Linked DNA regions of Ovis aries. The protein of the gene in region 1 interacts with the protein of each later gene in a pairwise test. Links are inferred from orthologs where the notes say so. Each region holds a gene or a part of one and is shown in the gene's direction. Other genes may lie near its edges.

Region 1 (2,663 bases):
CCAGGGGTGGCCTGAGCCATACCTTCCCTCCTACGTATCTGGTTCTCGCTGTGGAGCTGGCAGAGGGAGGGCACCCCTGAGGGTCCCCAGTGCCACTGCTGACCCACTGCCTCACCTGTCTCACAGTGCAGGATGTCAAGTGCGACATGGAGGTGAGCTGCCCAGACGACTACACTTGCTGCCGCCTACAGTCCGGGGCCTGGGGCTGCTGCCCTTTTGTGCAGGTACCGAGGAATGGGGAGTGGACTGCGCTGAGCAGAGGGCAGCCGCCAGCCAGTCCCCTCAGGCCCACTGTCCCCTCTCCCGCCACCCTAGGCCGTGTGCTGTGAGGACCACGTGCACTGCTGCCCGTCCGGGTTTAGGTGTGACACAGAGAAGGGTGTGTGTCAACAGGGGACCCGCCGGGTGCCGTGGATGGAGAAAGCCCCAGCCCACGTCAGCCTGCCGGACCCCGGAGCCGTGGAGGGGGATGTCCCCTGTGATAACGTCACCAGCTGTCCTTCCTCCACTACCTGCTGTCGACTCACGTCTGGGGAGTGGGGCTGCTGTCCTGCCCCAGAGGTGCCTGGGGAGGAGGATGATTTAGGGGAGGGGGGCAGTGTCCTGGCCTGGGCACATGGCCAGGCTCCTGTTGCCTTGCTCTTCTGCCTTCTGCCCAGCCCACGGGGGACCCCAGCTCAGTCACAGTCATGCCCAGCTCGAGGAGCCGAGCAGGAGAGGCAGGCTGGGGGCTGCAGGGGCTCAGCGCTCTGGCCCAGAGTAGCTGCCTAAACCACCCTTTTCTGCCACCTCCCCAGGCTGTCTGCTGCTTGGACCACCAGCACTGCTGCCCGAAGGGCTATGCGTGTGTGGCTGGAGGGCACTGTAAGAGGGGGAAGCAGGTGGTGACCGGACTGGACAAGGTGCCTGCCCGCAGGGCCTCCCCGTCCCACCCCAGAGACATGGGCTGTGACCAGCACACCAGCTGCCCGGTGGGGCAGACCTGCTGCCCGAGTCTGAGGGGGGCCTGGGCCTGCTGTCAGTTGCCACACGTGAGTACCCACCTGCCCAGTCCTGGTCAGGGCGGGGCCCCGTCTCAGGTGGGAGGGGACGTTAGTGGGGGTGAGAGTGCGAGGCCCTTTTGTGTTCCATAGGCCGTGTGCTGTGAGGACCGCCAGCACTGCTGCCCGGCTGGCTATACCTGCAATGTGAAGGCCCGATCCTGTGAGAAGGAGGTGGACCCTGCACACCCTGCCCTCCGCCTGGCCAGCGGCCCTCTTGTGGGCGCGGGGAACGTGGAATGTGGGGCGGGGCACTTCTGCCACGATAACCAGACCTGCTGCCCAGACAGCCAAGGGGGCTGGGCCTGCTGCCCCTACCGCCAGGTCAGTGCCACCCCCCAACCCAGGGGCTGGGTAAAGGCCTGGGCCAGGTCCTGCCACGTCCAACTCTCGCCCCCTACTCTGACCATCAAGGGCACCTGTTGTGGGGACAGGCGTCACTGCTGTCCCAGTGGCTTCCGCTGCGGAGCCAAGGGGACCAAGTGCTTCCATCGGGAGGCCCTGCGCTGGGACGCTCCTTGGAGGGACCCGACACCAAGACAGCTGCTGTGAGGAGGGCCTGAGGACTGAAGACACTTGGCGGCCCTCAGGACCCTGCTCAGAGGGTCCCCACTGCTCAGGCCTCCCCAGCACCTCTCCCCCACCACATTCTCCCAGACCCCCTTCTGAGTCCCCCATCACCCTGGGAGGTGGGGCCTCAATCTAAGGCCTCCCCTATGCCAAGGTGAGGGGGGCTGTGGCAAAAGCCACGTTTCAAGCTGCCATCCCCTCCCCCAATTTCTGTCAACCCTGTGGCCAGGTGCTCTTCCTATCCACAGGTGTGTGTGCGTGTGTGTGTGAGCGCGTGCGTATGTGTGCTGCAATAAAGTTTGTACACTTTCTTAACAGTGTCTGATTTGGCCACTCTGCCTGCCCTCCCCAGGGGCCCCTGAGCCAGGGTCCCCATCCAGTGGCCACATTCCCCAACCCCCACAGAAAGACACACAGCAGCTCATCTCACCAGTTTTATATTTGCTGTTGCCCACAGTGATCCCATCACATTACTCCCTAGTCCCCGGAGCCGCCCCAGCCTCCAGCCCTGTGACATCGCAGCCCAGAGGTGGGCTAGTCAGCAAGCAGCACCCCCTACCCTCCCAGGGGTCCGCTAGAACGCCCCCTCCCTTCCCGGCCCTCAGGCTAGCAGCTGAGGCCTCGTTGCCCCTCCTGCTTTCCCACGATAGAGCTTTCTATGTACAGCCACGTTTATACAGGCACTGCTTCCCCCCACCCTGCCCTCCTCCCCAGCACCTCCCATCGAGGTTCTGGTCCCCCCTCCCTCACCTCCCTCTCGGAGGCAGACACGGGTCCCTCCCAAGACATTACCCAGCACATACCACCGGACAGCTCCGCAGGGCCCCGGGCCCCTTTCCAGGCGGGGCTGGGGGCTAAGGGCGAGGGCCCCCGCGGCCCCCCGGAGCGCGCACCCTGGGGGCGGGCCCGGGCGGAGGGGGCGGGGGCCGGCCCGGAGGCGGCGCCAGGCCGGGCACTACTTGACGTTGAACACCATGAGCGGCCGCTCCTCCCGCCGCTGCCACGGGCTCTTCTTGTCGCCCGCTTCGTCGCCCACCTCCGCCCCCAGCTCGT
Region 2 (4,669 bases), on another chromosome or scaffold:
GCTTCAGGCCCAGCGTCTCCCACCTGGATATTTGCCTAGCGACGTGCTGCCCGAGTCCTTTCCGCCGCATACAAGAAACTTTCATCTCAATCTCCCCCTCTTCACTCTCCTCCCTCTCCCCTCTCCTCTCTCTTTTTCTTCTCTTAATCCCGGGGTTTTACGGGTTGAGCATTAAGAAAATTCGCCTGCAATTTGGGATTAGATAAATACTCTCATTAGGAGGGGGGGGAATTGTGCTACTTGATACCTCCCAACTTCCCCCAGATCGCGGCCGCATCTGGAACCGAGAGAGCCTGGCTCCCGCGTGGAGGGCCCTGGGGACCGCCAGAGCACATTCCAGCGCGCACAGCCGCCCCACCTTGCCGGACCTCGGCCCAGCGCCGCCGCTGCAGGCGCAAGGGGGCCGGGAGGAGGCGGGAGGACGAGGGTTTGGGAGACCCGGCACGCACCGAGGCCGGAGAGGGCTAACTCAGGCACACAGCGCGCAGGCCCCGGCCGGGATAGCGCCGGGATAGAGGCGCGGAGGCGCAGAAGCTCAGGGGAGTGCGCCCAGCGTGCCGGCCAACTCTTCCCGACAAACTAGTGCGCTCCAGTCAGCGCTTTTCCCCAGAACCGAAGGCGGGGGCTATATTTCGTTTCTAGCTTTAAATCTCTGCGCATCTCGGGGGCTCGGAGCCCAGGGCCTCGCGAACTATTCCCCCGCGGGGGCCTGCGCGAGCCTAATATGTGTCCCCACTCGAGTCAGCGCTGCGCTCTGCGCAGTTTCTTTTCCTGTTAAGGCTTTATCTTGTTCGTGTTTTTCCTTTTCTCTCATTCTTTTATTGTTTTCGCTCTCTCTTTCTCTTGCTTTTGTGAATGGGCCGCGGTGTCTTTGTTCTGGAGAGAAGCGCCCGTGTCGCTGACTTTTGTGAACCAGAGAAGGATCTTGTAAAACCTTTTCTCCTTCATACTCCCCCCCCACACCCCTCCTCTTTTGCCCCTTTGATTAGATGTTCCCTCATCGTCAAAAAAAAAAAAATGTAATTTCGTTAGTCTGGCGGCCACTTTCTTTGAACATTAGCTCGCTTTCAGCTCCAACTTCAATTAGAAGGAGTTGATTTTGAGAGATCAACAAAAGAACCGACCAAAGCCTTATTAAAGGTCCTAAGAAGATCTCCCGGGTTCTTTGAGAAGCAGTTAAGGAAACAGTGTGCCCTCCATCATATTCTGTTACCGTATTTTATTCGGACTCCAAAGGAAAGTGTCGCTTGGGGGAGGGGAAGCACTTTGATGAGCGGCGGCCGCGGCCCCTTTTCACTCAGCGGGCTCCCCCGTCCTTCTCCGCCACCTCCTCGCCCCGCGCCCGGTGCGTTCTCGGTGCCCTACCCCGCGGCCCCGCAGCGCCGGTGCTCCCCACTGCGAAGCGCCCGGCGGCTCCTAGACTCGCCCTCACACTTACTCTGGTTCAAACTTTTCACTCCGCCTGTTGAGGTGGAGGGGAGGGGGCGGGGGGGAGATTAAGAAGAAGCGGTAGGAATTCCTCGAAAGGGGGTAAGTAAAGTCGGCCTAATATTCAGGAGGAGGTGCCATTTAAAAGAATTGCATTACTCAGCGTTGGGGCGCAAACACTTTTTTTGCGCTTTGAAAAGTCCACCCAGGTAGACGTGTTTTGAGAAGTTTGTTCGACTGGGAAATGGGCTTCGCCAGTACGAACTATCCGGGGAGATCGCTCAAGGAGGCTCCGGCGGCATGAAGGAAGGAAACTGAGGGCAGAGTCTGTGGCCACGTTTTCCACTAGATTGTCCCCTAGTAAAAGGAGCCAGTGTGAAAGACAAAGTTTTCTATCCAAACCTTTTGATTCAGAAGTACAGTGTATGTGTAAAGGGGAGGGGACGCTGGGAGCCGACATTTCAAAAGAAGCTTTCAGGATTTGCAAACACCTATCGTGGGGACTGGAAACTCCAGGAGACGTCGAAGAGCAGGTAAGTGGCCGTGCCTCCCTTGCGGGTGCGGCTCAAGGGCACTGGAGTCCTGAGGCGCCGAGGCGGGATCTGCGCGCTCGGGTCTGCTCCCGCTCTCAGCAAAGTAGCCCGGACCAGCACGAGTTGCCCGCCGCGTGCGTCTGCGGGTGATGGCCCGGTGCATGAAGACTCTGGGGCCCGCGGATGGCCCGGTGCATGAAGACTCTGGGGCCCGCGGCGTCGGGAGAGGGGCCGGAGGCCGGTTCCCCTCCAGCCCGCAGCTCCCGGCTCCTCGCGCCCATCGGGTGGCGTGCCAGAGAGCGAGGGAACCGGTTCTCCAGCACCTCGCCTCCTCTCTGCCACTCCCTCCAGGGCGCCAAAAGGGCGAGAGAAGGGCGGGGAGCCCCGGGGCAACCTCAGGGCCAGCGTTTCCCTCCGCGGCCCGGGCTCCCGCGCGGCGCTCGCCTTGCTCGTCTTGCTCTGCGCTGCGTTTGCCAGTCTAGCCCCGGAGTTAGCGCGCGACCGGGGCGGGGCGGGCGGGCGGTGAGGGCGGGGTGCAGGGGGCGGGGGAGGGCGGGGGAGCGCGGAGGTAACCCCCGGCTCGTGCTGCCATTGCCCGGCTCCCTGTCACTCAGCCCGCGCGGGGCCGGGGATTGGCAGCCTAGCCCCGTTACGCACTCACCTCGCGTTCACATACCCGGGGAGGGCAGTAGAAAGGTGATCAATCTTCATCAGGCTACATTTCCAATCACCTAAACAACCCGGCGAGACAAGCCACTCCGACAAGGTAACTCGCTTGATTTATTTAGTTTGCAAAGTGCCTCTGCAGGACTTCCCCAGCCCCCACCGCCTCCACGCTGCACGGAGTGCCACGGCAACCTCGAGCCACCTCCCAGCTCTGCCCCTCTTACCCCCACCTTCTCCTTGCGGCCCCCTCGGTGCGGTCCCGGGTGAGGCACTGTGTCGGGAGCGTGTGGGGCTTTGCAAACAAAGTGTCTGTGCAATAAAGTGAAACCTGGAAGGACACGCACAAAGCCACTAGAAAGAAAGAGAAAGGGAGGAGGGAAGTTGGGGAAAGAAAGAAATCCCGCGGCTCCCTGACCCCCCGCCCGGGCCCGCGGTAATTCCTGTGCCGCTCTGTTTTGCAGGTTGGCCGTCCAGAGGGTCTGTGTGAGGGCGAGAGGTAGATGGTGAGCGGCCCCGGCAGCTGAGGGCAGGTAAGGAGAAAGCCGCTGGCCGCCCGGGACTCTGGGAACGCGTCGTGGCTCTTGCCCCCCGCCCCCCTCAAATGGGTCCCCGCTTCCCCGGTCCCTGGCATGTGGGGGGCGGGGCTGGGAAGCCACCTGGCTCCCCTCTTGCTGAGCGGAGGACCCCGGAGCTCCGCGGCGGCCCCGCACCCCTCCCCCGCCTCCTCCGAAGTAACCCAGCTAAAGTGCTAAGTTTGAAGAAAGTCTTTGAAAACTCACCATTGCAGTCTAGCAGAGTCGCCACAGCTGAGTCCCATTCTCCCTTGGCCCCGGCTCTTTCCCTTTTGTCGCCTTCCCTGCAAACCGAGTTTTCCCGGCCCAGGCCGTGGGTCCCTGGGGAGAGAAGCGGGAGACTTCTCTAGCTCTAACTTCTTTCTTTCCCTGAACTCTTCTAGCCCGGGTCCCAGGTCTGCTTTAAGTTCCTGTGAAGCGGGCTAAAGCGACAGGTCCTCTGGGGTCTCCGTCCCACTCTTCCAGCGCTACTTCCTGACTCCTGATTGTAGCACCTCCGTTTGGGGGGCAACCTGGGGAAGCCAGGCGTCGACCTTCCTGCCCGGGGCAGCGCGAACTACGCCGCAGAGGCCTAGTTCTCTAGTCTGGATCGGGTCCTCGGGCTCTGGTTCAGCTAGTAGAATAATCCGGAAGCGCACCAGACCTATTGCACTGAGGCTTCCCAAATCCGCCAGACCCTTGGGGCGCTGGTCAGGTCACCTTTCGACCCCGGCCGGGACCCCATTGTCCGCAGCCAGGACTGGCTTGCTCTGGGGAAGCACGGCCTGCGGCTGTGGCGAGGTGCGGGTGATCCCGGGCGGCGTGTTTGAACCGCCACCTGTACGGTGGCGCCTTCTGGTCGCCTCGGCCGGACCTGGGCTCGAATCGGTGGTAGAAGTGTGGGTGGGATTCCGGGTAAGCAATCTCTCAGCGGCCAGGCACAGAGAGGTAAACTGGTAGAGCGGCTGTGGGACCCAGCCGCGGAGACTCTGGAAGGATGTACTCAGTGAGCAATGCGTCCCGGAGAGGCCCAGGTGCCGCGAGCCCTCCGCTGTGCCTCACCTTGGCTCTCTGGAGTCTACCTGTCCGTTCCACTTTCAAAAACATTTGAAACAAAACGAAACAACCCCTCATGCTCTGGGTCTCCTGCTGCCTTGAGGTCGAGGGGATGTTTGCTTGTGTGGTGTGATGCCCTCTCCCACCCGAACAGATTTTTGCCTAGTCTTGGGACCTAGCGCACTCTGCGTTTTGGGCTCTGACCTCCCAAGGTTGCCCCCGATTTTAACCTCTCCTCACTCCTAGCGTCGCCCTACGAGTGTCTGTCCCATTCCAAGCCCGAAAAGAAGTGATAATGATCCAGAAATTTTACTTTTCAAAGAATCTGTGGTCTTCGGGCTAAGGCCTTATAGAGCCGAGTTCTGCACAGATCCATAGCCTGCGTCACCTCCCCATCCTGTGACTCCTTCCTCCGGCAAGACCAGGAAGCAGTGG
Region 3 (4,475 bases), on another chromosome or scaffold:
AGAAAACACAGACTACACACACTCAAAGAATCTGCAGAAGCAAGGCCTGCCAAGAGCACAGAGAACTCAGAGAACCTATAAAGACTGCTGGAAGCCAGAGCCAGCACTGCAGAGGTTATCATTTCTTGCTCTGCCTTGAGTCCTCTGCATTGTCTAATGCACCTAAGGGAAGGAAACAGTGGCTGGGTCATTTCTTAACAACATTAAAAAAAAAACACAAGCTACAGGGTATCAGTTCTGAGGATCTAATTATTTTACCTGCAATAAAATGCCCAGGAAGTGCGATTGGTAGCAGTCCAAAGGTTTCCTGGACTTTCACACCCAGAGCAATCTCAAACTTAACACCTAGCCTGGAGCACAGGTGTATAAAGATGATTCAAGTGTTAACACAAATGCTGTTTTACACAGGGTCGTTGCTCAGTGGACAACAGTGTGATAATGCAAGCATGGCATCTGCCACAGGAAGAAAGGGCAGTGCTCTGAGGACAAGAAAAGGCAGTTCAATCCACGGCCTTGTGCTTCACAGGTTACCAGGACCTTCTGGAGGACTGATTTTCCTACATACAGGAGCAAACTGAATGCTGTCCCTTGTGGCTTTATTCTCTTTTCTTTTCTAGTATTCTTTCATCCCTGCAGTAAATGCCTTTTCTATGAAGAACCGCTGGCTGATGGGGGTCAAAGGCCATCAGTAAGCTGGTGGCATTTCTTACACATGTTCTGAGCGGGTTCGAGGGGCCCAGAGCGACCTCCAAAGACAGGCTATCCAGGGGGGATAGCCGGGCCGTGAGCAAGGAAGGTTGTCCATTAACCCATTAACGTTGCTCAGTGCCCAAAGGTTGTACCTTTATTAGATTAGATAACAGTATATATTATAGGCTAGGCTGTTAAGCAAATAAATACGGGTAAGGAAACGACAACCCACAAAATTACATGCCTAGTTTTAACCACCACTCACCACTCTTGAGTGAGTCGATTTTCATCCGCTTATGCAGGGGCAAACCAGTTACTCTGGCGCTGTCGGTTGGGGGTAATGACCCCCTTTACTCTTGCAAAGCAAGTAAGAGACAAACAGCAAGGAACAGCCACCCTCGGGACTCAGAAACACGTCGGGAAGAGCCACTTGTTGGGGGTGGCGGTTTCCAAACCGATTTGTCGGTTCCACACCTCGAGTTCTGGAAACGGTCCTCCGGCCTCGGGCTCTAGGTGGAGAGGCAGGACGTTCGGGGAGAGAGACGCGAGGTGCCCCCGCCGCCCAGCCGAGGGGGCCGAGCCGCGGACGAGGGGAGTCGGGTCTCACGGGAGGACCCGGACGCCGCCCGGGGGCCCGGGAGACCCCGCGCCCGGGCGTCCCCGAGGCGCCCCCGCCGCGGGCTTCCGCGCACGTGGCCGCGGGGCGGGCCGCGCTCCCCCCTCCTGGCGGGCTCCCCGAGCGGCTCCGGGCGCGCGGCGGCGGCGGGCGGGGGCGGACCCGCGAGCAGGACTCCTGGCGGCTTTCCAGGTCGGCGCACTAATACGGGCGATGAGGCTTCGCGGCTCCAGTCTGACTGACGCCGGCTGGGGCCGCCGCCGCCGCCGCCGCTGCAGCCGCTGTCTCGGTCCCCGCCGCCGCCGCCGCCGGGCCCTGCAGGCGCTGGGCGCGCGCAGTCAGGCAGTGAGTGCAGCCGCTCCGAGCGGGCGGCCGGGGGACCCACCTCGGGGCGGGGGGCGGCCAGACCTCCATGGGTGGGTGGATTGGGGGGGGGGGGCGATGAGTAGCAGCGCGGGGACAGGTAAGAGATGCCCTCCCCGGCGCGCGCCGGGCGTGTGCGTGTCTGGACGCGTGTGCAGCGAAGTTTTTCTTCCACAGGGAAGGGTCTGGCGTGTGGCCGGGGCTCTTTGTGCTCCCCGTCCCTGTACCTCCTTGGTGGGGCCTGTCTGAGGTGGAGCGGGAGGGGACGGCTCCGGGGAGACGGCCGCGCGGGCAGCCGGCACCTGGGACCTGTCAGCGAAGGCTCGGCCCGCCGGCGTGCGGGGCTGTGGCCCGGCGAGGGGGCAGGGGTGCGCGCTAGCCGTCCGTCCCCGACACCCCTTCCCGCCCCCGGCCCGGGGCTGGGTCCGCACCGAGGACAGGCTCGGTGGAGACCCAGACTCGCAGCTGAGTAACCGTTTGCTGTGGCCGGAGGGCTTGGGGAGGACACTGGAGAAATCGGGGTGCATGCAGGGCAGCGAATGTGACTCAGCTGGCCTTCCCTGGCCCCCTGCCTCATACCGTTTTTACTCTGCTTACCTTTGAGGCAGGCGAAATGAGCAGGAAAAAAAAAGTTAGGAATGTTGTTCAAGTGTCTCTAGGCTAACGCTTGGATTGTGTTGGGAGCCGGGGTGTTTGTCTTTTTCCTTCGCCTGCCATTCGGTGCCAAGTCTCCGCAGAGGGGAGGGGGGCGAGATGGGGAACAGATACAGGAGACGAAGTGACGCCAGCATTGTGCTGGGAAAGAGGGGGGTGCGTTTTTATGGATGGCTAATCGCTGACAAGTCTTCCCGTTACTATTCCTTCCTCCTCCCACCCTTGACACTGGAAATTTGAAATGATGGTTTAGAAATACTCTGTTGACTTGTTTCTGGGCGGGAACTGGGTACTCGTGAGAAATAACCTACAAATGAGGTAAAATCGAGTTTGGGAATGAAATTGCACGTAAATTCTTTACCCAGTCACAGTCGGATACACACCCACAGGTCACTGTGGATGGCTTTGAACGGATCCAGTTTACAAGTACCATTTTCAGTGGCTTGCCAGATTTCTCTGATGATCTTTTGGAAGCGTTGCTGAACAGGAATGATAGAGGATAGCTGTAAAGTCATAAGGCACTTAATAATGCTAGCTCCTTGGCCATAACTGACCCAGGCATTTGAGGCACCCTTCTGGGTGAGTGATAAATTAATCCTACAGCGTATCTTCTGCCTTGGGATTCCTGTCGCTGTGAGGGAATGCCATTGGATGTTTACATTGTAGAAATAGTGATCTATATTTAAAAAGGAAGTAAAAGTAAAACCCAAACACATTCCCCTAACTCCAGATAGACAGTTCAATTTAGTAAGTGCTCGTATGTTTGTAGGAAACCATGAGCAAGATTTTGGACCGCTTTCAAGTTGTGGTTATCCAAGAAGGACGCTGCAGATAAGAAAATGATGTAATCATTTATAAATAAGGAGCGTTTAAAATATATTATGATAGAAGTTGCAAATAACATATCAGAAAAGTAACTTTTAGTGGTAATGATTGCCTTCATTGATGGCAAGACAACTGTCTTTAGCGGACAGCCTTCAGCCTGTTAATCTATTCTGACACAACCAACTCCCATTTTTATGCTTGACTGGCCGTCTTTGTCAGAGCTGTTTTTTTGCTTGGGCTCTGTGGTTTCAAGCTATGTTTTAAGAGAATGCCAACATACCCTTGATCTGAGCAAACTCATTTTTATCAGTACAGTGTTTGCTAAAAATCAAAGATACAAACAAATTTTAGGCTAAACTTCTAAACATTTTGCAATTCTCACATCTTTGTTAGTTATTAAAGTCAGCATGAGCTATTTGACTTTGCTTCTTTTAAAATTTTCTTCTTTTTTAATATATTTCCACTTAATGAGTAATCAGAAAATATTCATAAATGCCAACTACTACTCTCTGATTGCCCAAGACCATGGGATGAGACAGAAAGGTTTTTGTTGTTAATGAAACATTGCTAAGGATTCTAGAAGTAATAAACAACTGGTAAATCTGTTTATCCTTTCTAATCATGTGGTCAGTTGGAGGGAAAAAATCTGTCCAGAAACTATTTCATAAAGATTAAAATAGTCAATTTCAGTTTTACAAACAGTTTCATTCTTTTCAATGAGAGCACAATATCCTTTGCCGTACTTGAAGAGTTGGTATTTAATAAGTGATCACCATGGTACTTAGGCAACTAACTAGTTTATATCTGACATCCCCTCTGCAATAAATAAAACAGCAATTTCATCATGTTTGGCTTAAGTATGTTGGAAATAATATTTATACACAAAATGTACTCCGATACAAGGAAAGCTAAAAGTTAACGAAAATGAAGAAGTGGTTTTTCTTAAATTTGGAAAACATACTACCTTGAATTTTAAAGCTCTGACGAGGCATAGTGCAGATTTTCTGCCCATCACGTCTAACATTTAGTGAGAAATTCAGAAGCGGGGAATAGTCTGGAATGAAACTATAAATGTTTAACAGTACATTGAAAGCATGAGTCTCTTCAAATAGTTGTAATTCTAAGCTGTTGGATTTATATTTCCTTGGTTACTGTTGCCAGTGAGTTGAAAAGTTATTCTAAAAGGGGGAAAAAGGCAAACTAAATTTGTGAGTGAATTTAATAGTATGAGCACGTTAGAACATTGACCTGGTGAACTGTTCATGACAAGAGTAGGGGCATAACAACAAGGAAAAAATAAATATCTTTTGGATATAAACTAACCTTT
Region 4 (3,872 bases), about 24 Mb from region 1:
CTTTTTGTTTCCACAGATAATTAATTGTCCCAAAAACCATTAAGTAAAAACTACCAAAGTAAATTTTCCTTTTATAGGTCATTGAGTTCACTGCTTTTCACTGTGAGACTTCCCTGGTGGTCCAGTGGCTAAGACTGAACTTTCAGTGCAGGGGGCCCAGGTTCAATCTGTAGTCAGGAAACTAGATTCCATTTGCCACAGCTAAGACCGACTACAGCCCAATAAATTAATTAAAAAATAAATAAATAAAAAGAGTTGTGATCAGGCTTCCCGGGTGGCTCAGTGGTAAAGAATCCACCTGCCAATGCAGAAGACACGGGTTTGATCCCTGCTCTGGGAAGATCCCACGTGCGATGGAGCAACTCAGACCGTATGCCACAACTGTTGAGCCTATACTCTAGAGCCCCGGAGCCACAACTTCTGAGCCCATGTGCCGCAACTGCTAAACCCCACACACCCTAGAGCCCGTGCTCTGCAACAAGAGAAACCAACGTAATGAAACCCATGCACCACAGCTAGAGAGTAGCCCCTGGTCACCTCAACTAGAGAAAAGCCCACACAGCAACGAAGTCCCCGCACAGCCAAAAATAAATAAATAGAGTAGTGGCAAGCTATTAAAACACAGTGTGATAAACATCTTCAGAGCTTATCTCCATAACCCATTTTAATTCTTTTTTAAAAATAATCAAAAACCTTAGAGTCAGAAATTCTTTGACTTATGCAGACCAAGTCACTTATATGACAGTTTAAACCAGTTTCTGCTTATTTCAGTTTCTGGTTGGAAAACTTCACAAAGCATTTGTGTAGAGCCTGTCATGCTTGATGCCGTTAACTACTTGCAGTCCATTTTCTAAATTGTCTTTCATGGTATTGTAACCTCCACCTACATGAGAGAGTAACAAAGAAAATGTCATTTATGAATAAACAACATACAGATCAGAACAAATTGAAATTTTGCTCTGCTCCTTTAACTTGTCTTAGCAGCCTACTTTTAAAAGCCAGAGTAGATTGCCAATCTACTGATGCTAATTCTCTCTTCTCAAATGTAAAAATTTGTAGAAAATAATTATGACAAAACATTTTTAAAAATCATTTTGTTTACTGTTAGGCACAAAGCAGATAATTTTGCTGGAAATTGCAATATCTTTAGTTACCTGATCATGTAAGCTTCTTACTTTGGATTTAGCGTGTCTTCCAGATAAATTGCCAAAAAATGAATCCAGATCTTTTTTTTTTTTTTTTTTTTAAACAAAAGGCCTGCTTTATAAGAGAAAACATTTTCTGTTGGTTAAGGTGGTGTTTTCTTTTGGTTTAATACCAGAGAAATAAAGTGGATTTTTAGTTTTCTTTGTTTTGTTTTAAAAGATAGCCTAAAAATTTTTGGTCAAGTAATAGAGTTTTAAAATATTATGTGTTATTTGAACACTGGTCTTTGGGAGGATTTGATAAACAACATATGCCTGTTTTCCTTTTTGGTATAGTTTTTCTGTGTGGTCGGAAAATGTACTTTCATTTTAAGTTTCAAAGATGTTGGTTTCATTCTGATTTGTCCCCACATACAGACATGCATTCATTTGATGTGACCAGACATAGTAGATTCAAGATAAAAAGATAAGATTGCCAAAAATTAGGGGTAAAATATGTTTTCTTTAAAGCAGTAGTTTTCCATTGCTTTTTTAAGCTACGAGATCCTTTTTTCAAATAAAATATGTTAGGACCTCAACTTAGAAGGCAGATAAGTATTATTTTGTCAGTTATATTAATAATATTGACTCAGACTTAATCAGTGAGAACACTGGAGCTTAGATGGTCATTCCTCTCTTATCTGTTCCTCAGTGCTCCCAGTTTCTGTTTTGGTTGCCTAGTATCAAGAAAGCCTCAATTCCTGAAAATAAGCAAAATTTGCTGGTGGTGGCACTGCTGCCGTTTACTAACAGCTCACCTTGCAGCCTCCAAAAACTTTTCACTTAAACAGAAAGGGCAAGACTTCGCTGGTGGTCCAGTGGTTAAGAATCTGCCTGCCAATGCAGGCATGGCTTCGATCCCTGGTCCCTGGTCCCGGAACTAAGATACCACGTGCTGCAGGGGAACCAAGCCCATGAGCTATAACTAGAGGAGAGAAAAAAGCCTGTGTGATGCAGCAGAGACCCAGCACAGCCAAAAATAAACAGAAAGCATAAGATTCATTCCTAGGTTTGTAGGTGAATTAACCAGTCTTTCTCATTTACCGTCATGTTCTAGCATACTGCGTAAAATATAATAGGCATTCAGTTAATTAAATGTTTATGGCATGAAGAATTGAAGGGACCTGTTAGCATTAGTATTCTACAGTGTGCTACTTTTTGACAAATTCACATATTGGAATGTGGATTAATATTTTAAATATTTATAGATTCATATGAAATTTAGGTAAAATGTTCATGGAACTCCTGAAGTACCTCAGGATTCAGCAGGACTCTGAAACCCATAGCTTTGAAGAAATTTTACTGTGTATATTCCATAAAGATAGTGAACATATGGGAATTCCCTGGTGGTGTAAGTGGCTGGGGCTTGATGGCTTCACTGCCAAGGCCTGGGGTTCATCTCTGATCAGGGAGCAAAGATCCCACGAGCCATGCAGTGCAGCCAAAAACAAACAAAAAAATAGTGAACATAGTTAGCTCAGGAGGTCGTTTTCTTCCCTTATAATATCTTCCTCCATAAGCAGCCTTGAAAATAAATTAGCTTGGTTTCTTCATTAAACCTAAAAGTATACATTCAACTGCTTTTTGTTTGTTTCATTAATTACCAGTTAAAAACAAATGAAAGTGAAAAGCTTGTCTTTAAGATAATTCTGTATAGAAATAAGGAAGTTTGAGACTTTCTTCCCTCTCATCCAAATAATATCAAAATATACTGACACAATGTACTCCACCTGTATCATTGAAAACTTTGCAAAGTTCAGAGGTCTGTCAAGGTTTTAGTTTTTTATTATTTTGTTCTACTATTCCACTTGTAAATATATTTGTCTATTTGACAACATTTTGATAATCTCTTCTGTTTAGATTTGTGATTTTGGATTGGCCAGAGTGGAAGAATTAGATGAATCCCGTCATATGACTCAGGAAGTTGTTACTCAGTATTATCGGGCTCCAGAAATCCTGATGGGCAGCCGCCATTACAGCAATGCTATTGACATCTGGTCTGTCGGATGTATCTTTGCAGAACTACTAGGACGAAGAATACTGTTTCAGGCACAGAGTCCCATTCAGCAGGTATGATTTCACTCTAGGCTTTAGGAACTTTCCATTCTATTACAGATTTAAAGGAAAGACCATCTTGTGCACACCTTGGGCTTATTCACTGTACTGTCTACATTGCTTTTAGCAAATTCAAGTTCTCTTAAAATTCAAAAAGTTAGGAAGATTACAGAGAGATTGATTTTGCAGCTTACGAGCCTATTAGAGGGAATGTTGGCTTTATTACACGCACTGATGCATGGCAGCAGACTCCGCTGTAACAGTTTGCACAGGTGTAATCTTCAGTGGTTCAAGAGCCTCTGTTCTTTCTAACTGAATGGATCTGACTTGAAAATGTATTTGGTGACTTAATGTACTTACACTTTGTGCTTAGAATATAAATTTTGAGTGTTGACTTCTTTAAATGTGAACATTTAGAACCCTTTCCAACCTTTATTGGACTAAATTATTTAAATATGGCAGAGAATATCAGAAGCTGATTAAAATGTTGGAAACCATTTGTGGTACTTTAACTGTCTGCCTTTATAAACTAATTCGTTACCCACATTTTCTTTGGTCTAATTCTTAAGTATTTTTTATTCATAAAAATTTTAACAGTCTTGTTTGCATGAGAAGAATGTATCAATGGTGAGT
Region 5 (4,627 bases), on another chromosome or scaffold:
ACTACGGCTCAGTCACTTTGCACAGATTATCTCACGGATCCTTACAGCTATCCCGTGAGAGGCTCAGAGAAGGGAAGCAACTTGTTCCAGGTTGCACAGCGGGTGTGAGCTGAGCCCACGTTCTCACCAGCGGTGGACACCCCTGGCCGGGGTCTCTCCCCACCAGGACTTTTCTCCGGAGAAGGCGCCAGGCCTGAGGAAAGAAGGGGCAGCAGCGCCCACCCCAGCAGCCCACCCCACACCGGCAGCCACCAGGCCTGGATCCTGCCCGGCTGGAGGCCCCAAGCCCCACCACACGGCCACCCCAGCCGCCTTCATCCGTCAGCACCCTGCTGGGCGGGCACCAGGGAACCTGGCTTGCTTACTTGTAAAAGGGGCACCGTGCCATCCAGCCTGCCTGGCACACACGGAGGTGTCAGGATGGAGCGAGGCGGAAGGAGGCGAAAGTGAGCGCTCGGTGCCTGAGGGCTGTGCTGGGCCGCTGGCTGGGGCGCTGGGGTGTCTGAGCACGACGGCGTGTGAATGCAGGTGTGTGTGAATGCGAGTGCGTGTGAATGCGGGTGTGAATGCGACTGCGTGTGAATGCGGGTGTGAATGCGAGTGCGTGTGAATGCGGGTGTGTGTGAATGCGAGTGCGTGTGAATGCGGGTGTGTGTGAATGTGTGTGTGAATGCGGGTGCGTGTGAATGTGTGTGTGAATGCGGGTGCGTGTGAATGTGAGTGTGTGTGAATGGGGTGCGTGTGAATGTGCGTGTGAATGCGGGTGTGAATGCGAGTGTGTGTGAATGCGACTGCGCGTGAATGCGAGTGTGTGTGAATGCGGGTGTGTGTGAATGCGAGTGTGTGTGAATGCGAGTGTGTGTGAATGCGGGTGTGTGTGAATGTGTGTGTGAATGCGGGTGTGTGTGAATGCGAGTGTGTGTGAATGCGGGTGTGTGTGAATGCGAGTGTGTGTGAATGTGGGTGTGTGCGGTGGTGAGCGTGTGGGTGAAGCATATGTTCACACGTGCAACTGTGCGTACGTGCACTCACGGGTGGGCATGTGAGAGGGTGAGTGTGAGTGATTAGAGGGGCCCCGGTCACCCGCCCTCAGGCGCCCGAGGGGACCGCAGGCCCTGACCCTGACCTACCTACCGGCTCACCGTCCCCACCGGCTACATCCCCGGCCCTGGCCCATCGACCCCCAGTGGGGGGCTGACGGGCTCGCAGGAGCCCTGGGCAAGGCCCGTGACCCCTCCGTTTCTTCCCTGCAAAGCGGTTCACCGCCGGCCGTGCGCTGCGCCCGGCTGGCCGGATGCTGGAGCCCCCCCGCCCCCGCCGCCCGTCCCTGCCCTTCGCCCCGCGCCGCGGGGTCCCCGCCGCCAGCTTCGCCTCCGCGCTCAGCGCCGCCCCCGCCGCGCGGCCACAGGTGCGCGGGCCGCCGGGGCTCGGCCCCCCCGCGCTGACCGCGGCGAGGCGGTGCCAGGCTAGCGGGCGGCGCGAGCCGGACGCCCGGGCGGCGGCGGGAGCCGCGGGCCCGAGCCCTCCCCGCTCGTCCGCGCCGGCGCCGCGCGTGGGCCCCGCGCCCGCGGAGACATGAGCGCCCGGCGGCCCGGCCCCGTGGCCGCGTGATGGGCTCCTGCGTGTCGCGAGGTGAGGGGGCCCGGGCCGTGCCGGGGGAAGGGGCCCCGCGCCGGGTCGCGCGCAGTCCCTCGGCCGCTCCGAGGAGCCTGGGCGGGGGCGGGGGGACCCACCCGCCCTTCCCGGCGGCTGCACCCCACCGGCGCCCTGGGAGACGCGGGGCCCCGCCTGCATCTGCACCCCAGCAGGCGGCGGGAGCCGGGTCTCTCCCTTCCCGGCGGCCGCACACCCCTGCCTGGGGCGGGGGACACGGAGCGTCTGGCGCCCCCGGCCTCTCCGGAGTGACTCGGGGCACTCGCGGCGCAAGCCGACCCTCGTTCCCACGACCCCCCCCCCCCGCCCGAGACACAGGGCCCACCGCTGTCCGCGTACCCCACTCCCTGTCTTCAGACTGAACACCCGCGGCAGGCGTTAGCGGGAGGAACAGGGTCTAAAGAAGACCCCGGCCCCTCCTGCCGGCGCCTCACCCCGCCAGCCTGGTGCGGGGACAGGCGGGGACAGGCGGCCGGCCCGGGAAGCCGCGGCCTGTGTCTCCGCCCGGCTCTCTGCTGCCTGCTGGTGCCTGACCCCTGGCTGTCCCCGGGGTGGAGCAGGGAGCCCCGGGAGCCGCTCTGGGGGGCGGTGGGGTGGGCAGGGAAGGGGTGGGCAGGTGTTGGAGGCTGCGCCGGGTCCCTTCACCCCGCAGCGGGAGCAGCAGGGCTGAGGTGAGGGCGGACAGACCCTGGCTCCCACTCTGCGGTATGAAGCCAAACCCACTGACCCCAGGCACAGCCTTGGGGGGCCACCGCCGCATCCTGCACCCCAGCCCTTCCTCAGGTGTGGAGGGGTAACCAGGCCTGGGTAGGGGCTAGGCAGGCTCCAGGGGACCCGCCCTGGGAGATGAGGGTTGGGGGGGGGGGTAAAGGGCTCTGCCTGGGGGCTCTGCTCACCAGGCCCCCAGGGTTCAGGTAAGTGGCTCAGGATGTCTCAGGAGGGTGGGATCGTGCGTGGGGGCTGGGCTGTGTGAGGTTCTTTCATTCATTCATGAAGCTGACGTCAGCCTGACCCCTACTGTGTGCCAGCCACTGTGTACACACTGCGTGCCTAGAGCCGGTGAGCCCAGCATAGGGTCTGCTCTGGGCCTCCAGCCTGGCCAGAGGGGAAGGTACTATGTAGAGTGGAGAGTACCTAAGTTTCTTTAGAGCCAGCAGGCTCTTGGTGTGTCTGCAGAAGCCCGGAAGGCTGTGCAGGCCCCTGGTATTGGGGTCCCGGGGTCCCCTTTCCTTTGGCCCTCCTGCGCACCCGGCCGTCCTGTGCCAGGCGCCAGAGGCCCGGCCCCAGGAGACTTGCCCGTTAGCCACAGACCAGGGCGGTGCTGTCAGGGCTGGGGCAGGGGCTCGGGTCCTCTGACGCCCCCGTAGCTGGTGGACCCTCTGCCGTGCCCTCTGGGGGCACCCGGAGGTCTGCGCCCTTCCTGCTGTGGTTTGGGCTCCTCGTTGTATATCCTGACCTTGTGCCCTCCTGACGGGGTCTGCCCACTCCCAGTGCCAACATGCCCGCAGGCAAGTTGGATGCAGGTACAGGAAGCGTGAGCTCCCCTTGAGCCGAGGACACCCATCGTCCCATTGCTCTGGCTCGGGGGGTCTGAACCCCTGAGTGGAGGCCACCTGCCCCCCTAGCTGTCCCTGCTCCTCCCAGAGTGCGCGCGGCTCACCAGGGGCTGGTGGGAACGTTCCAGGCTCCACTCGCCAGTCTGGGGTCTGTACTAGCACAGCCCGCATTTTACAGGCAGGGAAACAGTCTGGGGCTGCGTGGTTAAGAAAGAGCAGAAGCGAGCCTTGGACGCGGTCATGCTGGCTTCGGCACCCGTGCCCTTGTTCTCTGTGCCACACAGCCGGCCGTTGGACCCAGGGCTGGCCTGGCCTGCTCCTTCCAGCCCCCGGCCTCTGGATTCCAAGAGCCTCTGAGTCTCCACGTGCTGAGTCACTCAGTCGTGTCTGACTCTGTGCAACCCTATGGGCTGTAGCCCTCCAGGCTCCTCTGTCCACGGGATTCTCCAGGCACGAACACTGGAGTGAGCAGCCATGCCCTCCTCCAACCCAGGAATTGAACCTGCGTCTCTTAATGTCTCCTGCATTGGCAGGCGGGCTCTTTACCACTGGCGCCACCTGGGACGCCCGGGAGCCTCCACAGCAGCCCCCGCACTCCACGTGCCAAACTTGCAGCCCGAAGCCGGGCGAAGCCGCATCCTTCTGCTGCCCACAGCCACCCAGGGCCTGCAGGCGACTGCAGCCGCCCAGCCAAAGCCCAGGCTTCGGGCCACAGCTGGGAGAGCCACCCCACCCAGCCCTGGGCAGCAGTTAGCCCCCTCGAGCCAGCCCTGAGAGGGTAGGAGTGCGAACTCTGGAGCCGGCCGGCCTGCTCTGCCCCCGCGGCAAGTTACTTAACCCTGTGCATGTATCTCAGTGTTCTCATCTCTAAAATGGGAATGGCACTTCCATGGATGTCTTAGGGGTACTGGAAGTGAAAGTGATAGTCGCTCCGTCGTGTCCAGCTCTTTGCGACCTCATGGACTGTAGCCCGCCAGGCTCTCCAGTCTATGGAATTCTCCAGGCAAGAACACTGGAGTGGGTTGCCATTCCCTTCTCCAGTGACCTTCCCAACCCAGGGATCGAACCCAGGTCTCCTGCATTACAGGAGGCTTCTTTACCAGCTGAACCACCAGGGATACTAGGAGGGGATTAAATGACTTCCTATAGAGCACTCAGACCACTACCTGGCATGTAGCAAGCCCTTTAAGTGTTAGCTGGCACTTTAGTTTTTAATTTTTGTTAGTATCCTTCTGTGCAGAAGCTAATCCAGACCCTCTTGGCTGGGAAAGGGGAAGCTACAGGGGCTTTGAGCACCATCCAGCCTTGCAGGAAAAGACACACTGAGGGGTTGAGGACGTGGGGAAAGTGATTGGGCCCAGATGGAGGCACCAAATGCCTTTCCTCAGAGCTGCTTCGTGTTGTCTTGAGTGCTTATC
Region 6 (3,872 bases), on another chromosome or scaffold:
ATTTGGGATCCTCTGGCATGAAAAAAACTGTTAGACTTTTCTATAACCTCATAAAAATTTGGTACTCCGTAATGTAAACATACGTTTAAAAAGTGGAACTAGAAGAGGGATGATTTCAACCACGTAAGAAAGGAGGCGTTGCGGCTGTGGGTCTGCGTGAAGTGGAGCGGCGGCGGCGGTGGCAGGGTTTGACTCGGGAGGTTTTTGATCACGAGGTGACAGTGTCGGAACACAGTCCTCTCCGGGGGTGACAAGCCCAAGTCAGGCTGGGGGCCGCGCGCCTGGGGGGACGTCTGGATGGGTCCTTCTTGAAGGGGCGACGAGGAGGCCCTGGGGGCCGGCCCTCTTCTGCAGTGCCATCCCCCGGCAGAGCCTCAGGCAGGGCCGCGCCCAGGGCTGTGTCGGTATGCAGTGCATTCTGAAGTTTGTGTTTTTTCCCTAAATTAGGAAGCTAAGTGTGGCTTCAGCAGACAGATTTTGGAAATACTAAATAGTACTGGGTAAGTAAATCTTGTTTTCAGAGAATGTATTTAAGAAATTCTAACTTTTCTGTTCTGACATTGATTCTTCTCAGTTGTTATATCTGTTCATGTATTTTTATCTATTTATTTTTGCTGTAGCATTTTATGAATGCTTTAACGTAGACCACAGTAGAATTTTTTTGACCAATGTCAACCTATTGGTAACATAAAGGAGGTATTTTGGCAGACATTGAGATAACTATTTGTCTACTTTCCCAGAGGAAAACTAATAACTGAGTTCTTAGCATGCATAAAGATATTTTAGGGAAAGTGTATTATAGATTTTTAATTTTCTTAAAAAAATATTCTAGCTTCCAAATAGTTTGTGAAACAGGAAGCACAGGAAGATCCGTTATCTGAGTCTGAGAGGTGGGTAAATCAGATTGTGGGGCTCATGCTTTTGATCTCAGTGACGAAGCTGCCAGGTAAGAAGACTGGAATTGTGGTCAAACCGCCTATTTAGAGATACTTAGCACATGTTCTGTGTTGCCCAATGTTTTTGCTTATTTTTCTTCCTTATTCTCACCTGCCTCTTTTCCGTATTGTAAGGATTCTAACTGTAGCTTTAGATAGACTCCTATGACGTGACAGGAAAAGTCACCTTTGAAGTGTGTGGGCATTCTTGGGCTGGGCGGAGTAACACAGCCCCAAATGCAGCTTTCGGGACAAAAGAAGAACAGCCATTCTGTTCAAGTGACTGTGATGCTTCACAGAGGAGAGACTGGTCGCTGTTGTGCTCCGGCCTCCAGCTGCCCCATCCTCACGCTGCCTTGGGCTGCAGTCGAGGCTGGCGCGGCTCTGGTCACTTTCTTCCCTTTGCCACATCTCCTGTGAGTCACCCTCAGGCCACCTGTCCTTAGTGCCAGCTAGTCCCCTGGGGTTCTGAGACCAGGATGGGACAGTTCTGGGCCCATTACAGCCTAAGTATTTGGTGGAAAGTCTCCATCACTTACTTTCTGTCCCATGTCTGTCTAAGCTGGATTGGATTGGAAGCACCAGTTCCCCCAGAGCAGGGAGCTTCTTTGGGACGGAGTACCTTCCCGACTCCAGGCTGGCTGAACCCTTCCAGGGTCTGTTGACGTGGAGGACTGTGGTCCTGCTGGAGCTGTTGGAATGTGGGGGGCGCTTCTAGCGCTCTGTTCCTTTCCTCCATCCTTGCTCTTGTCTGTCCCTTCTGAGGAAAGACATCTGCCCCGAGGGGCTGAGCACCCCCATGTGCCTTGGGGCGTGGGAGGCGCCCTTTCAGGGAACTTCAGGAGGTGTTCTGGCAGCTGTGACTCGCCACACCTGTGAACATGTAGGCCCAGCACTTCTTGGATCCCTTGTATCAGGGGCAGTTCCAGAACTCAGTGTTTTTTTTCATATTGTGTCAATTAGGAGATCTGCCTCTTTAGTTCAACTTGAAGGGAGACTTATACTGTGTGGTTCTGTTTTTCTTTTTTTAATCTTTTTTGCTCTTCTTTCAGACGTTACATTCTTGATACTTGTTGCTGATTTATCCTGTCAAGTTCTTTTTTTTGACTCTTTCTTGCATCATGGACTGTTTTCTTTGGAACTTGTGTATTAAGTTGGAGAAGGCAGTGGCACCCCACTCCAGCACTCTTGCCTGGAAAATCCCATGGATGGAGGAGCCTGGTAGGCTGCAGTCCATGGGGTCGCTAAGAGTCGGGCACGACTGAGCGACTTCACTTTCACTTTTCACTTTCATGCACTGGAGAAGGAAATGGCAACCCAGTCCAGTATTCTTTCCTGGACAATCCCAGGGATGGGGGACCCTGGTGGGCTGCCATCTATGGGGTCGCACAGATTCGGACACGACTGAAGTGACTTACCTTAGCTTGTGTATTAAGTAAACAGGATTTCCCTATGAAAATGGCTTTGGTTTTATGGAAAACGAAATTCGTTTTTTCATACGTGGCATTTTCTTTGGCCAGGGTTTGAAATTGCACATGCGCTCACAGTCTTCCTGCAGGGATCCAGTCACACATGCTTACTCGTTCCTTGACCACCTTGTAATAAAATCCTCCTGCGTAGATGTGGTTGAATTTTCACTCATTTATACTAGCAGCCTCATGACACGGCATGCAGCCACAGCCCTCGCGCTGGCTGCAGGCGTCGTGGGGAAAGCACACGTGCTCTGCGTGCTCTGTGGGAGGCTCATTCCCAGCGGGGGAGCTGCCTGAGGGCGTGCCCCCCGCTGGTGAGCTCGCAGCCTCCATCCCTGGGTGCCGCAAGGCTGCCCCCTCTTGCTCCCGAAGCAGAAAATCCAGAAAAATTTCTATTTTGGGATGACTTATTCTGTCAAGTACAAGACAGATAAAGAAGTAAAATAATTTGTTTTTCCCCAAATTTTGTTAGCATCGAAATAGTTTTACTTTTCTTGACTGTTTCTGAAACACCAAATAGAGTTTATAATTTTTGTCTAAAACTGTATTTCTTGTCAAAATGTTTTCTCTTTTTTGTAGGATTGAATATGAGACATTTGATATATTGGAGGATGAAGAAGTAAGTTCTGTGTTTTAGGTTTTGTCTTTTGTCTTAGTTTTAACCATTAGGATTGTCATTTATTCTAATCTGATAGGATGATTTCAGGGTTCCTGTTGTTTCCGTAGGTTCGGCAAGGATTAAAAGCTTACTCCAATTGGCCGACGTACCCTCAGCTGTATGTGAAGGGGGAGCTTGTCGGAGGACTGGACATCGTTAAGGTGAGGTCAGGAATCACTGGGAGCCTGGAGGAATGAAAGCCTGAGCGTGGATGAAAACTATTGTTTCACTGGACTTGTCCTTGGTGTCCTTTTCTGGCCTCGTGTCTGATCGCTCCAGCCCAGAGCTACCATCTCTCCAACAAGAATATCTTGTCTCTTATCTCTCACCGGAGCCAGTCAGAATCAGCCCCTCTGTATGGCCTCTCCTGCCCACTAGGTCCTTTGCTCTGGTTCTGAGGAGCTGCCAGCCAGGGTCCCCAGAGAGACTCAGCACTCAGAGCAGCTCTGGGCGTGGCCAGGCTCCACCCCTGCTTCACTCACACGGCACTAAGTTCTTCCATGTTTTAGCTTCTTTCCACCCTGTCTCTACTTTGAATTTCCTTGCACAGTCCGTATTTAAATATGCTTTCTGTATCCTTCAGGCTCCTCTTGTCTGTGAATCTTAGGTTTTTTCATCCAGAAATATTTGTTTTGCATCTGCTTCTGAAGTTCTCCTGCCATGTTACATTTATATTACTATAATTTTATTACTTTCTGGTGTCATTTCAGTTGCCTTACTCGCATGTACTCGGTGATGGAGTAAAGAGTGCCAGGCTAAGGGCTGGGGGCCTGGGACACAGTGCTGGCCTGGCCCTGCTAGCTGTGC
Region 7 (4,522 bases), on another chromosome or scaffold:
CACTGAATGGTCCAGTGGTTTTCCCTACTTTCTTCAATTTAAGTTTGAATTTGGCCATAAGGAGCTCATGATCTGAGCCACAGTCAGCTCCCGGTCTTGTTTTTTGCTGACTGTATAGAGCTTCTCTATCTTTGGCTGCAAAGAATATAATCGATCTGATTTTGGTGTTGACCATCTGGTGATGTCCATGTGTAGAGTCTTCTCCTGTGTTGTTGGAAGAGGGTGTTTACTATGACCAGTGCGTCCTCTTGGCAAAACTCTATTAGCCTTTGCCCTGCTTCATTCTGTATTCCGAGGCCAAGTTTGCCTGTTACTCCAGGTATTTCTTGACTTCTGCGTTTACTTTGATTTAATTTGGACAGAACTGGTTCTTTAGTCTGTTTTGTAAAAAGAGCTTCGTGATGAAGCACAAATGTAAGTGTTAAAATAAATGAAACCTGAAGATATGTTCTCCCTACCTCCCACTCCCAGTTTTAAATGTATTAAATTTTCCAAAGTTCTGCTGGCCTTTTTTTTTAAAAATTAGTGTTAATTTAATTTCAGGTCTCCACTTTATATAATAAGAGCTCCTTTGACATGTCAGTTCAATTATTTGAATCTCTTGTTCCTTGAAAATAATTTTCGATTATGAATTTCAAATGAAAAACAGGCAGTGACCAAAACCTGAATTGCCTCTACGCGTCTGATTAGGTACCAGCATGCGGCTGACACCTGCTGGAAAGGTCCTCTGCGGGCTTCTCCGACCCTGGGCCCAGCAGGGGCCCCCCTTGCCTCTGCTCCAGGCAAAGAGGCCCATCTCCACAGGCTTCCCTCAACTCTCAGGAGACTGTCCCCCGCGGGAGAGTGGTCCCAGGGTTCACCCACGTGTCCTCAGAGAAGGAGCATTAGAGTTCATCGTGATAATCAGGGTTGGGCCCTGTGACCCAAAGCCACACCCAGGCAATGCAAGTGGTTTCGGAAGTCTTGAGCAGGCTGTGACCTGCCGGACCCTCCAGGGGTCTCGGCTCGCTGGCAGACGCAGACGCCCTCTTTGGTGGGCAGCCTGGCCTGTGAACCACCACGGCAGGACGCCTTGGTGAGACTGCAGCTCTCCGCCCTGACGCAGACTCACCCGGCGGGTAACTGGCGGTGGCTAGGCTGGGGGAGGCGGAGGAGCACCGCGGAGGGGTCGCAGGCTAGTCCTGAGGCGCCGTCAGCCTCCTTGCCGTCGCTGTCATTGCCTCGTGCGCGCCCTTCACGGACGCGCCTGGTTCCCCGGCCCCCGCCTCAGCACAGCCTCACCCCCGACGCCGCCTCGGGACGCCCACCCGCAGGGCCGGCTGGCTCCCCGGGCCGCACGGCCTCCGCCCCACTCCGCCCCGCTTCCTGCCTGCACGCCCTCGGGAGGGGACACGGGCGGGACAGCCGCAGCCGCAGGCTTGACCGCGCGGCGCTGGAGCCCGGGGGCGCTGATCTATTTCAGCGACCGGAACTGCGAGGCGACGAAGAGAAAGCCGCGGGCAGAGACTGCCCCGCCCACGCCGGGCTCGGCCCCGCCCCCCTCGAGTGTCGGGCCCCGCCCCCAGGCTGTTATTGGCTGCCAGCCCGGATGTCCCGTTCACTGGCGCATCTCAAGGAGGTGGGCGAGGAGCTACTGGCAAAGCCTCGGCGCTCATTGGTCCCTCTGCCCGTCAGTCACGCGGCGGCGGCGGCCTCAGGAGGCGGGCCCGGCGGTTCCGGAACATGGCGGAAGGTGAAGGCTGGCGGGTAAGCTCCGTGGGCGCTGGGGGCCCGGGGAGCCGAGTCCGCCGGTCGGAGCGGGCGGGCGGGCCCCTGGTCCCCGCTCACGCCCCCGTGCCCGCCCCCGCAGCCGCCGCGCCCGTGCGAGGCCTACCGCGCGGAGTGGGAGCTCTGCCGCAGCGCCGGGCACTTCCTGCGCCACTACTACGTCCACGGCGAGCGGCCGGCCTGCGGGCAGTGGCGGCGCGACCTGGCCAGCTGCCGCGAGTGGGAGCAGCGCCGCAGCGCCGAAGCCCAGGTGAGGCCAGGTGACCCGAGCCGGCCCGCCGAGCCCCGGAAGGCCGGGAACCAGAGGCGCCGGGCGCGGGGGGCGGGCCTGGAACGGGGGCTTCGGGCCCAGCCCTCCGCGTGTGCTTTGATTGGTATCATTCAAAGGCCAGTCTGGCAGCCAGGCTGGGAGAGGGCGTGGTGCAGTCACGGGAGTCCAGTCAGGAGGGGCCCTTGGTCCATCCGTTCAGCAGACGCTTCCCCCTGGACGCTCTTGGACGTACAGGAGAGGTTAGAACCCGATCTCTGCCCTCCTGACTCCTACATCCTAGTCTGGCATACAGTGGTGCCCTGGAGCTGATGGGGCAAAGGGTGGAGCGGAGCTGTGAGGGTGCAGAGCTCTTGGGGTGTGCCAGCAGGACTGGCGAGTGTAAATGCCCAGTCCCTGAGCAGTGGAAGAGAAAGTTGGCGGGTCTGTGTGGCAAGAAATCAATAACTGATACACAGATTGTCAAGATAGCTCTTATATATCAGTATGAGAAATGGATTTCACAGTGAAGTGGACAAAAGGCATAGAGAAGGGATTCACCCTGAAAGGACGTCAGATGGCCTGATACACATTTAAAATGACGGTGAGTGGTTTCTGCCCAGCGGAACATCACTGGGGTTTGGAGAGTGAGCACCTGGGCAGTGCTAGTGGAATGTGGGGTGTTTTGATTGCCTAAATGTCAAATGCATGCCTTTTGATCTCAGAGGGCTGCCCGTGACCCGGTCTCCTTTGCAGCGGTCCCTGTGTGAAAGCGAGCGGGCCAGAGTTCGGGCTGCACGGAAGCATGGCCTGGTGTGGGCGCCCAGGCAGAGCCCCCCAGAAGACTGGCACCTCCCTCTGCCTGAGGACAAGGACGGGTGACCGACCCAAACAGTCCAGAGGGCCCCTGGGAGCTTCCGCCCTTGCCTCCAGCCTCGCCTGCCCTGCCGTCATCACCAGGCTTGGAGCCGGTCCACCCAGCATGCAGTGTCCCTGTGGGCAGCCAGGGAGGCTGTCCCAAGGGCTAGGCTCCTCAGACGAACCCTCCAGGGGCAGCTCTGACCCGTGGGGACACTTGGGGGGGAATGAGGTGGCCTCCCCACCGGCCCTGCTCTGGTGGCCACCACGCACCTTGGTTCTCTCCCGCCACGGCCACTCACTGCTCCTTCCCTCGGAATTTCACCCAGTCGTTTTTAGAAAACGTGGATAATATCAGAAGAAATTTCACAGGTTTGATTCCAAATAGAAACTGCAAATTACACCCAGGCTTTCATATTGAAAGTTAGATGCAGGCAGGGTTAGAATTTTGTACGTTTTTGTAGATGCTCTTAGAATACATGCCCTTGAACCAAGAACCCTCCTTTAGAGGTCTCTTTCTTCTGCTGAAATGGTGTAGCCTCTGGGGCCGCGCGGCGGACCCACCACTGGGCGCTGTTCACCCAGCCTGCGGCATCTCGGCGCCTCCCCCTGGGCCCCAGCCAGGGCACAGGCGTGGCTCCGCATCACGGAACCCGTTCTTGGGGGCAGAATAACCCACCCCTCAGAAGGACGTTCATTATTGGGCCCCCGTGTGCCCCAGGAGTCCTCTGTGGCTATGAGCGGTGGGGGTGCATGCACGGGACCCCCGGAGCAGAGGAGAGCATAAAGAAGGCGCAGGGTGCCCCTTCTGGCAACAGCTGAGCCCATCAGCCGCGGCTGCAGCTCTGTCCACGGGCATTTCTGTGCGAGGAGAGGGTGGCATGGCTGGGTCCTCCCGGGTCTGAGACCCCCCGTGGGGGGCTGTGTGCTGGGAATGGCAGCCACCCCCTGGTTCCCGGGATTCGTGCAGCAGGGCGCAGGCACCATGAGGAGCCCCACGCCTGCTCGGATGCTGAGCGTGCCTCCAGTGCAGGGGAACATGCCTGTGTCAGGCATGTCCACGCCCTGGGACCGCACACCCAAAACGGACACGTCGCCTCCGTCCCATTGAGTTCAGGGGACGGACATGGACGTTCAGGCGTCAGCCGTGAAGGTTGAAACGGGCAGCGTCTTTCAAACTCGGGACAGAGGCCATGGTGACGAGCAGTTTGGGTGGTGACCCGGTGCAGCGTGGTCTCAGGGACGCTGGCAGTTCTGGGGCCAGGGTCAGAGCGCCATCCTGGGGAGCCTGTGATACGAGGATGCGCGGCGGGGAGCCGGGCCCCGCTCGGGCAGCGCTGTTGTTCTCTGGTGTAGGTGAGACTGGCCAGCCTCCAGCCTCCTGTCAGCCTCTCGTGACCTCCAAATAAAAGTTTGAGACAAAACAGTTGGCCACGACCTACTGACTTGGTTATCCAACCTCACCGAGGAAAGCTACAGGCCTGAAAAGCACCTGTGAGGGGTGGGGCGGTGGGGAAGGCTCTGAGTGTAGCCCTGTCCGAGGAGCAGTCTGGAGGCTTGCAAGGCCGAGAAGGAGCCACAGGCTGACGAGGCCGGTGCACAAGCTGCGTGCTCACTCAGGTGAAACGGCCCCTGGCATGCCTGCCCTGA

What was found.
Region 2: the proteins of GRN (region 1) and OTX1 interact in binary tests that used the Homo sapiens proteins (3 or more experiments, as listed by UniProt). The two-hybrid records come from large-scale screens. The link is inferred for Ovis aries from reciprocal best matches to the Homo sapiens genes GRN and OTX1.
Region 3: the proteins of GRN (region 1) and SMAD9 interact in binary tests that used the Homo sapiens proteins (3 or more experiments, as listed by UniProt). The link is inferred for Ovis aries from reciprocal best matches to the Homo sapiens genes GRN and SMAD9.
Region 4: the proteins of GRN (region 1) and NLK interact in binary tests that used the Homo sapiens proteins (3 or more experiments, as listed by UniProt). The two-hybrid records come from large-scale screens. The link is inferred for Ovis aries from reciprocal best matches to the Homo sapiens genes GRN and NLK.
Region 5: the proteins of GRN (region 1) and FAM131C interact in binary tests that used the Homo sapiens proteins (3 or more experiments, as listed by UniProt). The link is inferred for Ovis aries from reciprocal best matches to the Homo sapiens genes GRN and FAM131C.
Region 6: the proteins of GRN (region 1) and GLRX3 interact in binary tests that used the Homo sapiens proteins (3 or more experiments, as listed by UniProt). The link is inferred for Ovis aries from reciprocal best matches to the Homo sapiens genes GRN and GLRX3.
Region 7: the proteins of GRN (region 1) and C17H22orf39 interact in binary tests that used the Homo sapiens proteins (3 or more experiments, as listed by UniProt). The link is inferred for Ovis aries from reciprocal best matches to the Homo sapiens genes GRN and C22orf39.

What each region holds. Positions count from the first base shown.
Region 1 is NC_056064.1:43,892,419-43,895,081, forward strand, and holds the end of GRN (progranulin), read left to right. Parts: intron 1-126; coding exon 127-224; intron 225-315; coding exon 316-561; intron 562-797; coding exon 798-1,031; intron 1,032-1,133; coding exon 1,134-1,364; intron 1,365-1,454; coding exon 1,455-1,592; 3' UTR 1,593-1,925; downstream 1,926-2,663. Other genes in the region: protein FAM171A2, read right to left, coding at 2,566-2,663. UniProt on the Homo sapiens protein: Secreted protein that acts as a key regulator of lysosomal function and as a growth factor involved in inflammation, wound healing and cell proliferation. Regulates protein trafficking to lysosomes, and also the activity of lysosomal enzymes.
Region 2 is NC_056056.1:45,201,494-45,206,162, reverse strand, and holds the start of OTX1 (homeobox protein OTX1), read left to right. Parts: upstream 1-1,852; 5' UTR 1,853-1,961; intron 1,962-2,648; exon of another isoform or gene 2,649-2,727; intron 2,728-3,088; 5' UTR 3,089-3,157; intron 3,158-4,669. UniProt on the Homo sapiens protein: Probably plays a role in the development of the brain and the sense organs. Can bind to the BCD target sequence (BTS): 5'-TCTAATCCC-3'.
Region 3 is NC_056063.1:25,018,339-25,022,813, forward strand, and holds the start of SMAD9 (mothers against decapentaplegic homolog 9), read left to right. Parts: upstream 1-1,537; 5' UTR 1,538-1,651; intron 1,652-4,475. UniProt on the Homo sapiens protein: Transcriptional modulator activated by BMP (bone morphogenetic proteins) type 1 receptor kinase. SMAD9 is a receptor-regulated SMAD (R-SMAD).
Region 4 is NC_056064.1:19,697,491-19,701,362, forward strand, and holds part of NLK (serine/threonine-protein kinase NLK), read left to right. Parts: intron 1-3,044; coding exon 3,045-3,254; intron 3,255-3,872. UniProt on the Homo sapiens protein: Serine/threonine-protein kinase that regulates a number of transcription factors with key roles in cell fate determination. Positive effector of the non-canonical Wnt signaling pathway, acting downstream of WNT5A, MAP3K7/TAK1 and HIPK2.
Region 5 is NC_056055.1:249,709,084-249,713,710, forward strand, and holds the start of FAM131C (protein FAM131C), read left to right. Parts: upstream 1-1,494; 5' UTR 1,495-1,610; coding exon 1,611-1,632; intron 1,633-4,627.
Region 6 is NC_056075.1:48,924,209-48,928,080, forward strand, and holds part of GLRX3 (glutaredoxin-3), read left to right. Parts: intron 1-447; coding exon 448-500; intron 501-2,986; coding exon 2,987-3,026; intron 3,027-3,133; coding exon 3,134-3,226; intron 3,227-3,872. UniProt on the Homo sapiens protein: Together with BOLA2, acts as a cytosolic iron-sulfur (Fe-S) cluster assembly factor that facilitates [2Fe-2S] cluster insertion into a subset of cytosolic proteins.
Region 7 is NC_056070.1:72,728,481-72,733,002, reverse strand, and holds C17H22orf39 (UPF0545 protein C22orf39 homolog), read left to right. Parts: upstream 1-1,708; 5' UTR 1,709-1,722; coding exon 1,723-1,746; intron 1,747-1,849; coding exon 1,850-2,017; intron 2,018-2,770; coding exon 2,771-2,896; 3' UTR 2,897-4,298; downstream 4,299-4,522. UniProt on the Homo sapiens protein: Negatively regulates long-term potentiation and modulates adult synaptic plasticity. Stabilizes the interaction of RTN4 isoform A/Nogo-A with its receptors, inhibiting clustering of postsynaptic AMPA receptors at synaptic sites.